2 linked regions of the Mytilus edulis genome follow. The protein of the gene in region 2 interacts with the protein of the main gene of each other region in a pairwise test. Links are inferred from orthologs where the notes say so. Each region holds a gene or a part of one and is shown on either strand. Other genes may lie near its edges. The genes, in order: deoxyribose-phosphate aldolase-like and aldehyde dehydrogenase family 16 member A1-like.

Region 1 (7,927 bases), about 43 Mb from region 2:
TTCCCATGTATGTAACCATTGTAACCTGATTTCCCATGTATGTAACCATTGTAACCTGACTTTCCCATGCGTGTAACCATTGTAACCTGATTCTCCATGCATGTAACCATTGTAACCTGATTCTCCATTCATGTAACCATTGTAACCTGACTTTCCCATGCATGTAACCATTGTAACCTGATTCTCCATGCGTGTAACCATTGTAACCTGATTTCCCATGTATGTAACCATTGTAACCTGATTCTCCATGCATGTAACCATTGTAACCTGATTTCCCATGCATGTAACCATTGTAACCTGATTCTCCATGCATGTAACCATTGTAACCTGACTTTCCCATGTATGTAACCATTGTAACCTGATTCTACATGCATGTAACCATTGTAACCTGACTTTCCCATGCATGTAACCATTGTAACCTGATTCTCCATGCATGTAACCATTGTAACCTGATTCTCCATGTATGTAACCATTGCAACCTGATTTTTCCATGTATGTAACCATTGTAACCTGACTTTCCCATGTATGTAACCATTGTAACCTGATTCTCCATGCATGTAACCATTGTAACCTAACTTTCCAATGCGTTTAACCATTGTAACCTGATTCTCCATGCATGTAACCATTGTAACCTGACTTTCCCATGCATGTAACCATTGTAACCTGACTTTCCCATGCATGTAACCATTGTAACCTGATTCTCCATGCATGTAACCATTGTAATCTGACTTTCCCATGCATGTAACCATTGTAACCTGACTTTCCCATGCATGTAACCATTGTAACCTGATTCTCCATGCATGTAACCATTGTAACCTGACTTTCCCATGCGTGTAACCATTGTAACCTGATTCTCCATGCATGTAACCATTGTAACCTGACTTTCCCATGCATGTAACCATTGTAACCTGATTCTCCATGCGTGTAACCATTGTAACCTGACTTTCCCATGTATGTAACCATTGTAACCTGATTCTCCATGCATGTAACCATTGTAACCTGACTTTCCCATGTATGTAACCATTGTAACCTGATTTCCCATGTATGTAACCATTGTAACCTGACTTTCCCATGCGTGTAACCATTGTAACCTGATTCTCCATGCATGTAACCATTGTAACCTGATTCTCCATTCATGTAACCATTGTAACCTGACTTTCCCATGCATGTAACCATTGTAACCTGATTCTCCATGCGTGTAACCATTGTAACCTCATTCTCCATGCGTGTAACCATTGTAACCTGATTCTCCATGCATGTAACCATTGTAACCTGATTTCCCATGCATGTAACCATTGTAACCTGATTCTTTATGCATGTAACCATTGTAACCTGACTTTCCCATGTATGTAACCATTGTAACCTGATTCTACATGCATGTAACCACTGTAACCTGACTTTCCCATGCATGTAACCATTGTAACCTGATTCTCCATGCATGTAACCATTGTAACCTGATTCTCCATGTATGTAACCATTGCAACCTGATTTTTTCATGTATGTAACCATTGTAACCTGACTTTCCCATGTATGTAACCATTGTAACCTGATTCTCCATGCATGTAACCATTGTTACCTGACTTTCCCATGCGTGTAACCATTGTAACCTGATTCTCCATGCATGTAACCATTGTAACCTGACTTTCCCATGCATGTAACCATTGTAACCTGACTTTCCTTTGCATGTAACCATTGTAACCTGATTCTCCATGCATGTAACCATTGTAATCTGACTTTCCCATGCATGTAACCATTGTAACCTGACTTTCCCATGCATGTAACCATTGTAACCTGATTCTCCATGCATGTAACCATTGTAACCTGACTTTCCCATGCGTGTAACCATTGTAACCTGATTCTCCATGCATGTAACCATTGTAACCTGACTTTCCCATGCGTGTAACCATTGTAACCTGATTCTCCATGCGTGTAACCATTGTAACCTGACTTTCCCATGTATGTAACCATTGTAACCTGATTCTCCATGCATGTAACCATTGTAACCTGACTTTCCCATGTATGTAACCATTGTAACCTGACTTTCCCATGCATGTAACCATTGTAACCTGATTCTCCATGCGTGTAACCATTGTAACCTGATTTTTTCATGCATGTAACCATTGTAACCTGACTCTCCCATGCATGTAACCATTGTTACCTGATTCTCCATGCGTGTAACCATTGTAACCTGATTTCCCATGTATGTAACCATTATAACCTGATTCTCCATGCATGTAACCATTGTAACCTGATTTCCCATGCATGTAACCATTGTAACCTGATTCTCCATGCATGTAACCATTGTAACCTGATTCTCCATGCATGTAACCATTGTAACCTGACTTTCCCATGCATGTAACCATTGTAACCTGATTCTCCATGCGTGTAACCATTGTAACCTGACTTTCCCATGTATATAACCATTGTAACCTGATTTCCCATGTATGTAACCATTGTAACCTGATTCTCCATGTGTGTAACCATTGTAACCTGACTTTCCCATGTATGTAACCATTGTAACCTGATTCTCCATGCATGTAACCATTGTAACCTGACTTTCCCATGCGTGTAACCATTGTAACCTGATTCTCCATGCATGTAACCATTGTAACCTGATTCTCCATGCATGTTACCATTGTAACCTGACTTTCCCATGTATGTAACCATTGTAACCCAACTTTCCCATGTATGTAACCATTTTAACCTGATTTTCCTTGCATGTAACCATTGTAACCTATCTTTCCAATGTATTTAACCATTGTTACATGACTTCCCAATGCATGTAACCATTGTAACCGATTTCTCCATGCATGTTACATTGTTACCCTATTCTTCATGTATGTAACCATTGTAATCTGATTTCCCATGCATGTAACCATTGTAACCCGACTTTCCCAGGCTTGTTACAAATTTTTACTGGATTTCCCATGGACAGCCATGCATGTACAGTTTGCAAAAGATAAAGTCACTATTGCATATCATTTACTTAAGGTCCATGTGTGTAACCAATGTAACCAATGTAACCATTGCTTCAATGGGGGTAACAAAACAAGATACCTATATTCGGGTGCACATTTTGTGCCATATCTACAAATTATAGGTTACGGGATTATGGTCATATCAGTGGGGTAAATGACACTTAATCAGTATTCTGTAAATGTTGCACACAATCGTCTCACCAAACTCAATCCCTGGATTTCTGTCCGACATATTTTCTCTCTTCAGTGTGTTTGAGACGCTTTAGACCACATCCTCGTTACTCTAAAACACTCAAAAGATGAAATAAAATTTTAGACTTTGCAGTGTTCATTTGCATCAATTTTGGACAACCTTGAAATGATACGTTTATTTTAAAGTTTATGATGAAAACTGAAAATAATTGTTGTAAATGTATATATTGGTTATTTCCAAGTAAAGGAATATTGTTATTATTGTATTAAGAGGGTTTATATAAGTTGTCAGAAGTTATTTCTAGTATTTAGTATATTGAATGAGTAATTAACGTACGTTTTACTTTATGTTATTAGCTGTATCGATAACGTCGTATATGGCGCAACTTTGTCATGTATTGTTCAGAACGTTACCGTTGGGTCAATATTTTAAGCGTGACCCCAAAAGTGTACATTAACGAGTTTTTAACTGGAAGAATTTATATGTCTAGATATGTTTATTTATAAGAGTGTTTGATTATAAGCATTTTGAGTCGAGGACTCCTATATTTTATGTAAGCGTTTTACGTTATGTTACGTTATGTTTTTCTTCCTGCTTAGAATATTTACTTCCGGTAATTTGAAATAAATACCAGTGCAACGTCACGTTCGTCAGTTTTTGCTGTGTTTAGATTTGGCTTGCAGCAAGGCTCATCCCGGGGGTTCCTAGAGGTAAGAAGCAGCGCATTAGCTGTATGCCTCGCATTTTATATTACAAGTAAGGGTTATAATTTAGAGGTAAGAAGCAGCGCAGATAGCTGTATGCCTTGCATTTTATTTTAAGTATCTTCGCCCCGTATGTTTATTATATATTATTGTTGGAATATTGTACTTTTATGGAAATATATCGGCTGTTTAATAAAAGTATCATTTTTACTATTGACTAGTTATTCACGCTACCAATGATGAGAGAGAACAGACAACAGATTTGACGTCCGTATTTATTTATTACCCCGTGCATTTACTAGTTTTATGAGATATTCGTATTTGCTGGCTTTATAACTATATAAAAACATAGCAAGAAGCAGAAATTACGACAATGGTGGCAGCGGTTTAGTTTTCACGTTTCAAGGAATTTGGCACGTCTATTTTTAGAAATATTAATTTGTATGGAACACACTAAGTGACATATATTGTGTATGGAGTGCATTTAGCTCTATACATAATTCTGTGTTGAATGGATTATTTTGGAAAATACAGGAGTGCATTTAGCTCCTAAATTTTTAAAATATTTTTTAAGGAGGTGAATTTAGCTTCCTTTAAAGAAAAAAAATATAAAGGAAGTGCAATTAGCTTCCTAGAGAAAAAAAATATATTAAGGAGGTGCATTTAGCTTCCTAGAGAAAAAATATATAAAGGAGGTGCATTTAGCTTCCTAATAATTATTTATTAGGGGAATAGAGGTGCAGTTAGCTTCTATTGGCATATTACTGTTTGTTTTAAACATGGATCTTAGGAATAGAAAAATCCCAGCTCCAAATTTTGGAAGGGGGGAAAGTATGGAGAATATGATTATTTCACAGAGCGGAACTGATCAGCCCTGTAATTTGATAGATTTGGGTATAGAAGATGATGTTAATTTATCTACCTACAGCCCCATAGTAAGCCCGATAAACTCGTCTGTGAAGAATACAAGAACGATTGAGGAAAGTAAGACGAATTTGAATGATAACAATATTATTGCTATTCTAACGGACATTCAGAGACAATTAAAAAATCAAAATGATAGATTTTCTGAGCTCAAGACGAAAGTTTTTGAGATGAGCACGCAAGTATCAGAGATGAACACGCAAGTTAAGCATAATCAGGAAAATATAGCTCAATTAGCAAGGGGTAACCATGTGGCTGAAAATAACACCAATATGCAGAATTTCAGTCAAAATAGCATGACCACAACTGAACATAATAACCAGGTATCAGTGACCCAACAGTTAGTAGCTGGTCCAAGTACTGATAACATGTATACACCACGTCCAGTTAATACAAATTATGTAAGAGAAAGTAGTCGTATTCAGCAACTACAAAGGGAAGAACCAAAACCTAGAAGTCCATTCTTTGATGGTAAAGGGGATTTCAAGGCCTTCTGGACACAGTTTAGTTTACTGAGTAATAGGTTTAGATGGTCCAATGGTTCTAAATTGTCTGAGAGATGAAGCCCTAGTATATGTAAATGAGCTTCCTATGCCATTCCATAAAGATATCAAATGTATTCATAAGGCTATGTCACAGAGATTTGGGGACCATATATTACCAGAGACCTATAGGACCAATTTGCAATTTATCAAACAGGACCACAAAGAAAGCATACAAGAATATGCATTTCGTGTTGAGAGACTAGTAGGTAAGGCATACCCTGATGTAAATGACTTGAGTTTACTGGACCGTTTTAAAACAGAACACTTTATTAAGGGTCTGCCAGACCAGTCACTAGCTTATGAGGTCCTCATACAGAAGCCAGCAACATTGCAGGATGCAATAAATATAGTCACATGGCACGAGTGTTGTCGAAAAAATGTAAATAAAAACGTTAATGTCAGACAAGTAAATACCGATGCAAACTGTATAGAACAAGAGAAAACAGAAGACTTCGAGGTATATCGGACGGAGAATCCAACCCAATATGTCACTTATGCAGAATTTAAAATGGGCATAGACAATTTGAAAAAGGAGTTCAAAATGGATGTTGAAGACATAAAGCAGGATTTAAATGAGATAAAAGATCTATTTAAAACTGAGAAGCAAGAAAGAGAAAATATTGGTCCGTTGAATAGACATAATGTTAGGAAGAAAGACCAATTTAAAGCAAACAACAGTAACAGAGTAAATACATGTTACTCGTGCCACCAAGAGGGACATTACAGCAGAGATTGTCCTTTCTCAAGAGGAAAAGAGGGAAACCAGAAAATATGAATACTTTCGGAGGAAACCCGCAGTTTGGATTTACAAGTCAGGATTATCAGAAATAGTTAGGACTATATATCAGATAGGCCTACACTGGCCAAATATCAGAGTATTTTTGTGTAGATTGGGATTTTTTATAATGTAGTTATGAAACTTGTGTGATTTTTTTTTGTTATTGATAAAATGTAAAAAGAGATTTATTGTTTTTTGAGAAGAGTATACAGTATTATAGATTTTTGAAAGTATATCGTGGTATTGAAATTGTTTTGAGATTTTTTGGAAACAGGTGATTTTTTATCAGAATCTGGAATTTGATGGTCCTATTGAATTGGCGTTGTTGTTTTTATGCAATAAAGATTGTTTAATACTATTTTGGTGGGAAGCTGCTTTCGGTGGGTGTATATTGGCAGTAGTCTAGATTGCAATATACATTTAGGTTACACCATGGGAATGCTGAGCTATAGTCTACACCATTTTAGATATTTCTCGGGGAATACTGATGACCATTTTTTTTTATTTGTTGTACCTTGTACTAATTTTTATACTTTTGTTTGTATGGTGCATCAGTATCGAAGATAGTGTATATATTTATACGCGGGATACCCTTGTGGTATAGAACTTAATAGGACATCTGTCGGCTTATGGTTAGCCGGGTGTTTAAAAGAAGTTGAGCTTCATGATTTTTACAATTCCAGTGTCTGATAGAATGGAGAATCTTGGATTGAATTTTAAATGAAGTATATTAGTGCTGTAACGGGATAAAAAAAAATATAGAACTTTGTTTTTTCGTGACACTTTACTGTTATATAGGTGTAAGAGAAGATATTCATACTTGGAAGAAAATTTTGTTTTATTTGTATGATAAGAGGATTATGTACGTATGAATATTGTGAACAGAATATTTTTAAATGTATCAGTTGTCAGAGTTGACAAGACCATATTTCGAGGACGAAATGTATTCTGGGGGAGGGGCAGTGTTGTAAATGTATATATTGGTTATTTCCAAGTAAAGGAATATTGTTATTATTGTATTAAGAGGGTTTATATAAGTTGTCAGAAGTTATTTCTAGTATTTAGTATATTGAATGAGTAATTAACGTACGTTTTACTTTATGTTATTAGCTGTATCGATAACGTCGTATATGGCGCAACTTTGTCATGTATTGTTCAGAACGTTACCGTTGGGTCAATATTTTAAGCGTGAACCCAAAAGTGTACATTAACGAGTTTTTAACTGGAAGAATTTATATGTCTAGATATGTTTATTTATAAGAGTGTTTGATTATAAGCATTTTGAGTCGAGGACTCCTATATTTTATGTAAGCGTTTTACGTTATGTTACGTTATGTTTTTCTTCCTGCTTAGAATATTTACTTCCGGTAATTTGAAATAAATACCAGTGCAACGTCACGTTCGTCAGTTTTTGCTGTGTTTAGATTTGGCTTGCAGCAAGGCTCATCCCGGGGGTTCCTAGAGGTAAGAAGCAGCGCATTAGCTGTATGCCTCGCATTTTATATTACAAGTAAGGGTTATAATTTAGAGGTAAGAAGCAGCGCAGATAGCTGTATGCCTTGCATTTTATTTTAAGTATCTTCGCCCCGTATGTTTATTATATATTATTGTTGGAATATTGTACTTTTATGGAAATATATCGGCTGTTTAATAAAAGTATCATTTTTACTATTGACTAGTTATTCACGCTACCAATGATGAGAGAGAACAGACAACAGATTTGACGTCCGTAATTATTTATTACCCCGTGCATTTACTAGTTTTATGAGATATTCGTATTTGCTGGCTTTATAACTATATAAAAA
Region 2 (7,138 bases):
ATCACTCATTGATTAATCTACCTGAGTAAAAAATTGAACTGTCAATGAAGAAAAAATACTTATACCAATACTAAGTAAGGACTCACAAAACTGCATGTGGTGTTGTATTTATTCGATACCTGGAGTAACTCGTTTTTAATGTGTTCAATATTACATTTGTAATACTGATTCAAAAATTAAAAGTTGATTTCTGATCAAATATTCAATATTTTTGTGTGTTTGATAAATAAAAAATTGAATATTATTATTTTTAAATTAAGGTCTTCATAAACATAAGTCTATAAATGAACAACAACAAAAACATGTAAATTCATTGGAAAATACTAAAAAATGTGTCTGAAATAAACTTTTTAGTATTAAACCAGATTTTATATTGAACAGATTGAAAATATATTAATGATAATATTGAATAAATACAATATTGCATACAGTTTATGTGTGTTATTAGAAGTATTTCAATAAAAAAGAAGATAATTTTTTGGTCAGGTAAATTAATCAATGAGTGATATATTTCTCCTAGAAGAAATTTAAAGGTCCCAGTGAATAAACTACACAGAGAACAATACCTGTTGTATTTGTTAGATGGGACAATAGGACTTACAAAAGTTTAAATGGACAGGTAACTTGCAGGTGAATCTATGGAAAACTAAGATAGGGTTCGCAATAAATAATTAAAATTTAACTGTCGAGAGTGTAAAAATGTTGTAATACACAAGTTATAGTGTTGGAATCTGTTTCTCTGATGATTTTTATCCTTCTTTTTCAAAGATTTTCAGAAACTTGTGTTTTTTATATGCGACGTCATCAGACATGGTTGCCTTTTTTCATGACGTCATTATAGGAAAATGTAAAAGAAAATAAAACATTTTGACGTCATAATCAAATTTTGACTAATCAATTTGCCGAGAACAGATATTTTACTAGTGAGGAGAAATATTTTTCTCACATCTGTCAGGAAATGTGAAAATAGCCCAAAAATTAGAGAAGTTATTTTCCCCCAGCTAACGTGTTGCAGGAGACAAGGAAATACCAGGCTTCTTTCCATCCATCTGTCAAGTTTTTTAAGCGATCTCACATGTACAATTCTTGCCATATTTTTATGAAACTTATATCATATGTTTATATCAGCAATGTTTTGGACGAGTTCAAAAATCAGTCCTGATCAATTATTTTTAAAAAATTTAAAAGAGTTCTGCGCATTGGCAACATTAATCGTAAGGAAAATTGCTTCATTAGTGCACTCATTTTTTGTTTATGAAAGTTCTATCATACTTTAATACTAGCAATGTCTTGGATGAGTTCCAAATTCAGTGTGGATCAAAGACTTTTAAAAAGAATTATGCCCCTTGGAACTGTGGAAATATTGATTATACAGAAAATTGCATTATTAGAGCTCTCATAAGTTCAATTCTTGTTAGAAATCATGAAAATTAAATATTTGACATGATAGACACTAATTTCTCATCTGCTTATCAAATATTTTCAAAGAAATTTGCCCCTGGGAAATATAAATTATAAAGGAAGTCTCATTGCATTTGCTCTAAAGACTTCATTTCCAGTGCTTTTTTTTTTTAAAGATAAAAACATGTACAACACCAGCAACATTAGAACTGTATTCTTTTATTATTATAGTTGTCAACACAATCCAAAAGCTGTTGAGGTGACTGATGATTGTTTTTTTAAGCGACTTTGACTTCCCATGATTTGCAATATACTTTTTGTGTATGTTGAAAAGACCCTTCAGGTAATATTCTTATATAATCTTAAATTCCATTTGTACTTGATTCTCAATTTGATTATCAATGATAGATAGTATTTTAGGGGTAAACTTTTGAAATATATGCTAAAACAGGGGGAGTAACTCAAATAATAATTTTGAACATGTTTGAAATACACAGATTATCTTTGACCTAGGGCTGAGGTACATTGTAATAGACATTAATTTGACACCCAATCCAAGTTGTTGTCAACTAAATTTACTAATAAAAATAACCTTGATTCAAAATAATAATATTAATTAATTTGATAAAGCCGTTTGATAATATTAACTTAACAAAGATTGACATCAAGTGTTCAACAAAATTTGACATTGATAAAATTTGTTAAAGAGCCAAATTAAATTTAAAGCAGGGGGAACAGAAGAGAATTAAAAAATCCAGAGATTTTGACTCCTGTCAGAAGCATTGCATGAATTTTATTGTTTAAAAGTCTGATAATCTGACATTGTCTGATATGCAGTCTTTCACCCTTAATTTGGTAAATTGAGATATTCTATTCTTTTGCTAAATTTTAACCTTTTTTTATTTTTAGCAAATTTTTTGCTTAAGGTGGTACCTAACACTACAGGGAGATAACTCTAAAATCAGCAGCACGTTTTAATTACGTTGCGTTGTGAAGGCAATATTAAGCTTCTCAATGATCAAAATTGATGTTCGTCAAACTGCTATATAACCAGTGTATTTTTTCTGATAAAACTGTTGGTTCAAATTTTTAACGAGCCAAATTAATTTTAGTCAAAGTGTTGGGTACCACCTTAAATGTCTTATTTACCTGAAAATATATGTTCCTGTCAGTGGCGGATCCAGAAATTTTCATAAGTGGGGGCCCACTGACTGACCTAAGAGGAGGCCCGCTCCATTCATGCTTCAATGATTCCCTATATAAGCAACCAATTCCCCCCCCCCCCCCCCCCCCCCCCAATTCGCCTCTGCCTGGTCTTATTTTGACCAAGGATTTGTATAATAATCCTTGTTTTGACATATTGTTTGAGAAAGCAGATTTTTTTTTAATGTTGTTTAAAAGTCAATATATAATTATATTTCACCCTGTCGACATTGTTTTTGTTGGGAGTTTGTGTTGCTCAATCTATAGTTTACATTTATATTGTGTACAAAGTCATGGACATGGAAGAACATGATTTATGTGTTGGCTTGTAATGAGGTCAGTGGGGTAATTATTATGTGACAGCTCTTGTGCATTTGTAATATATAATAGAATGTATTGAAATCAACCTTAGCAACATTGTCAGCTTCAGGAGCAGGTCCATAGTCCATGCTCTTAAAGATTTCAGCAACAGAATTTTTTGTGTTGGTTTTCGTGTCAGCAGCCATAGTTGTCTTCTCGGGCTTTGTCGTTTGGTTACAGTTAACACCGAAAAGTCACGAGCGAACGCATGCCTTCTACGTCATAACATGGCAGCCACCACTGAAAAAAATTTCGTATAATTTTGGTGAGTTTATCGCCGGTTTTCTGCTTGATTTAGACGTTTATGTGAGACAGTATTATTGCATTCTAAAATGAATTTTGTCTTTTAATCATAATAGAACACGTCACATTATAAAAAGCCGACATCTTTTAGCTTTAACCGTAGTAACCACTTTCTCTTTGATCTGAGAAGTAATAAATTTGGAACTTTGATCCCTGAAGCAATAAAGAAATACATATAATTAATTTACAGAACACAATTAAACATTTTCTTAACAATAATCATGAAAAAAATCTTGAAGCTTTCAAAATGATTATTTTAACCCAATTTAGTGAAAGAAAGATTGTGGGTATTCATTCATGCATGGACATGTTAAAACTTTGTTTATTGCATGTTTAAAAATGCTTACAATTGGCCCTTATGTTTGTTTACAGTCATTCATCCATATAAGAAATGCATTGCAAATGTGAAATGTAACACCACATTTTGATTTGACCTTTAAGTTGTGTGCATCATGTAAAATACATGTACAGTAACTCATTATATTCCTCATCCACATAAAATACCATTCAAGGATTTTCACAATATATTTTACACAACATAAATTTAAATTGTTTTAAAATTTTGATTTGTAGTGCCCATATAAATGTATAATAGAGGTAAATTTTATAACAAGAAGTTGGTACACATTTACTTGCATTGAACATGTAGAACCTCCCATGCTTAGGGGCCTTTACATGTTAAGAAGATTACATCATCATATAATGGTGTTAAATATTGATATGATAATAAAAAAAAATATGCAGTGAGTATTTTCGTTTAGTACATGTAGTATTAAAGTAAGTAAATGTTTAAATTAAGGATTTATTTTTAAGTAAAAAATAAAAAAAACTATCATTAATGATAAATCAAGAAAGGAAAGGAAAACTCAAATCAAATCAAATCAAATATATTGTATCATGACTAAGTTCAAAAATTACAGAAATAGATCAATAGTTTTATTTTGAGTTTTCATACAGAAGTTTCCGCTTTTCTTCTATGATGACCGTTAGTTTTTATTGCAAACTGAAAATGCATGCACACTTAATTAAAACAGGTAAAAAGTAACCTCCGCCAGGTACTTGTACATTTGTAGGCAATCTTTTATTGTTAGAGATACAGAGAAAGTTATTGCAGGAAAAATGCTCAGAAGAGCATGAACTGTAATGTTAGGAAATTACTTCACTAAATTTTTTATCAAGTAACCTGCATTTTCAGGTAATTTTAAACAGGTAAAAGGTGTAATTTATTACATTTGTGTAGAATTCCGAATAAAACTACTTTTAGTCTTCAATTATTTTGTTGTTTTAATTTATGTGCAATATAATAAAGAATTCCCAGTTGCTCAATTCTGTAGCGCTATACACGTAACACAACTTATTATGTAATAGTGGCACAAATAAGTGGCTCTGTCCTCAAAATTTTCAGACTGTCAACCTCTGTTTTCCCTCCATTTTCTACGTCTCGTAATGATCGTTCAAATTATATTTCACACACGAATTAAATGCAATAAACACATTGAGATAACAAGAAACCTTTTAACTTATCTTCATTGTCAGTTTCGCAATAGAAATGCTGAAATATTTACATATTTACAGCTTCGTTTCAGATTTTTGCCATTTGCATTTGTCAAAATATTTGTTTTTATTTTCTGTCAGTTTTCCCTCTACTGAATGATTTTACTATAAATATTGCTGGGATTTCAAGTGCAAATAAGACCTTGTATTTCCTAGATTCATACGAGGAAAAATTAGAGAGGACCTGAACCAAAACCGAATGGTTTAAGAGTCGTGATGATGCAAGGTTAAATATCATTTTCATCATGTTCACGGTAGAAACTATATATATGTAACATTTGTTTACATTTATTATTATACATGATATAGCACTGTGAATGGGGAGAAAAAGCCAATTGCCTGAAGTCAGCAATCGTAACCCTTACCATGCAGGTTTTTTTTATATTACGGCCATACTCAAAATATCGTTATTTGGCTCCAATGGCTCTCCATATTTTTTTTTAGGTAAACTTGAAAACATTTATTTCAAAGTGAATGCATGTTACATCATTCTTACACTATTGTCATATTTCTTAGTTTTAATGCTAATTCTGATAAGCATGATGAGCACAAACTTGTATGAAAAATTGAAATCAGATAAAACTGTGGTTTTTGGAGGTGTAGGCTTCTTTTTAATGTATGACACGCGAGGTGCAGGGGCCTAAAACTTCCACAAGTAGTGCAAACCAGCAGGCATATAACTATCATGACTATTGCTCATGTTTATTATTAAAATACACATAGGAAATGGCTACTTTCGGTTGTACACTTGTGTAGGTCCTAATTAGTGTTAAATTAAAAAATCCGAAAAAAAATCTAAATTTCATATATTGGGTCCAAATGACTTCTTTTGAAATTAGACTGACCATGGCCAGATCAATTTCACTCTGACCAAAGAACTGTGGTAAATTTGTTCACTGGGGTCCACTACTGATTAATATATAGATCTATCAGCATTCCTTGGTCTTCCATGTCAGGAAATAGGATGAAAAATTGTCAAAATTGATGCTTTCTTTCTCCGTAATTGGCTATTGACCAACTCTAAGACAATTTCTACCTACTGAAGAATTTTTAAAATATTTAAAAAAAAAATGTGGTATATTTTTATAGATCGAAAAAAAATTGCTGACATTATATAGGACATATTTAATTTTGCAGCTTCTTTCATCATCATGATTAAATTTACTCATAAAAAAAGCAAAAAATATAGTTAACATTTGATATAAATCATAATAATAGTAGATTGTCAATACATATTTCTATGTGAAAAGTTGCTATAATTTCAATTCATTCAAAAGAGTACACTGCCTTGATATATATAGTATCACAACATCAACAAAATTGATCTTTTTGGAAATTTTAAAATTGATGAAATGCCCCTAAAATCATTCCTCATGGTCTGACAAGTTTTTTACACAGCATTTTAAAGCTGTCCTTCCTCCTCAAATCAAAATTTTTGTGATCATGATGCCAAAGTGCAGTTTAATTCTATCTTATTTTAAAACTGAAAGAGCATGAATTTATATTTATACTAGAAAGAAGGAAAACTTATTGAAAGAAGGGGTTGATAGTCATGATAGTTGGAAAATACATCCAGAAAATATGAGATACATGAATAAATAAATGTGTATGTGTATGCAAATCAACACAACATTTTCATTCTCAATTTTAGTTCCAACTTCACAAACAATCTTAATTTCATAAGCTCAATAGATTTTAATCAATCAAAATGCAATACCCCTCATTCTGACCCTCGTGTAATTAATGAAGAGCATCTGACAGTAATTAGAGGCATGTGAGAGTCTAGTCTGATCTGGTGAATGACATATCTCCAGTGTATCTCTATATCTGTTCAGACTTGTCAGAGATGGTATGGGTGGTGTTGTTGGTGTTCTGCTAGCAAATTGTGGTGAAGTAAATATAAGATTTCTCACATTTTTTTCCACACATCTCCCCATTGTAAATTTTGTTTCTGTGTTTGACTCGTTCAGTAAAAAATATTGAAAGTGAAAATAAATTGATGTATTTATTACCCTACACCCACCCGGGAGTGATTTTACTGAACCATTTTGTATTTAATTATAAATTGTACCTCTCAACTTATTCCCATTTACTGGTATATATATTTATGATAAAGCATTTTTATAAAGATACATACATGTATATCTTGTTCATTGTTGTAACTTAAATGTAGTAATCATGTTAATCAGTGGTTATCTTATAAGTATTGTTTTTATGTTAAGGAGGAGGGGGTTAACTGATGCAAAAAATCAATGGGTCTTTATGTAGTTTTAGAAAATGATACATTTTATGTATTTATAGACGCCTCCAAATGAGT

What was found.
Region 1: the proteins of aldehyde dehydrogenase family 16 member A1-like (region 2) and deoxyribose-phosphate aldolase-like interact in binary tests that used the Homo sapiens proteins (3 or more experiments, as listed by UniProt). The link is inferred for Mytilus edulis from reciprocal best matches to the Homo sapiens genes ALDH16A1 and DERA.

The regions. Positions count from the first base shown.
Region 1 is NC_092353.1:35,894,851-35,902,777, forward strand, and holds the start of deoxyribose-phosphate aldolase-like, read right to left. Parts: upstream 3,287-7,927; 5' UTR 3,211-3,286; coding exon 3,180-3,210; intron 1-3,179. UniProt on the Homo sapiens protein: Catalyzes a reversible aldol reaction between acetaldehyde and D-glyceraldehyde 3-phosphate to generate 2-deoxy-D-ribose 5-phosphate. Participates in stress granule (SG) assembly.
Region 2 is NC_092353.1:78,683,169-78,690,306, reverse strand, and holds the start of aldehyde dehydrogenase family 16 member A1-like, read right to left. Parts: upstream 3,192-7,138; 5' UTR 3,111-3,191; coding exon 3,012-3,110; intron 1-3,011.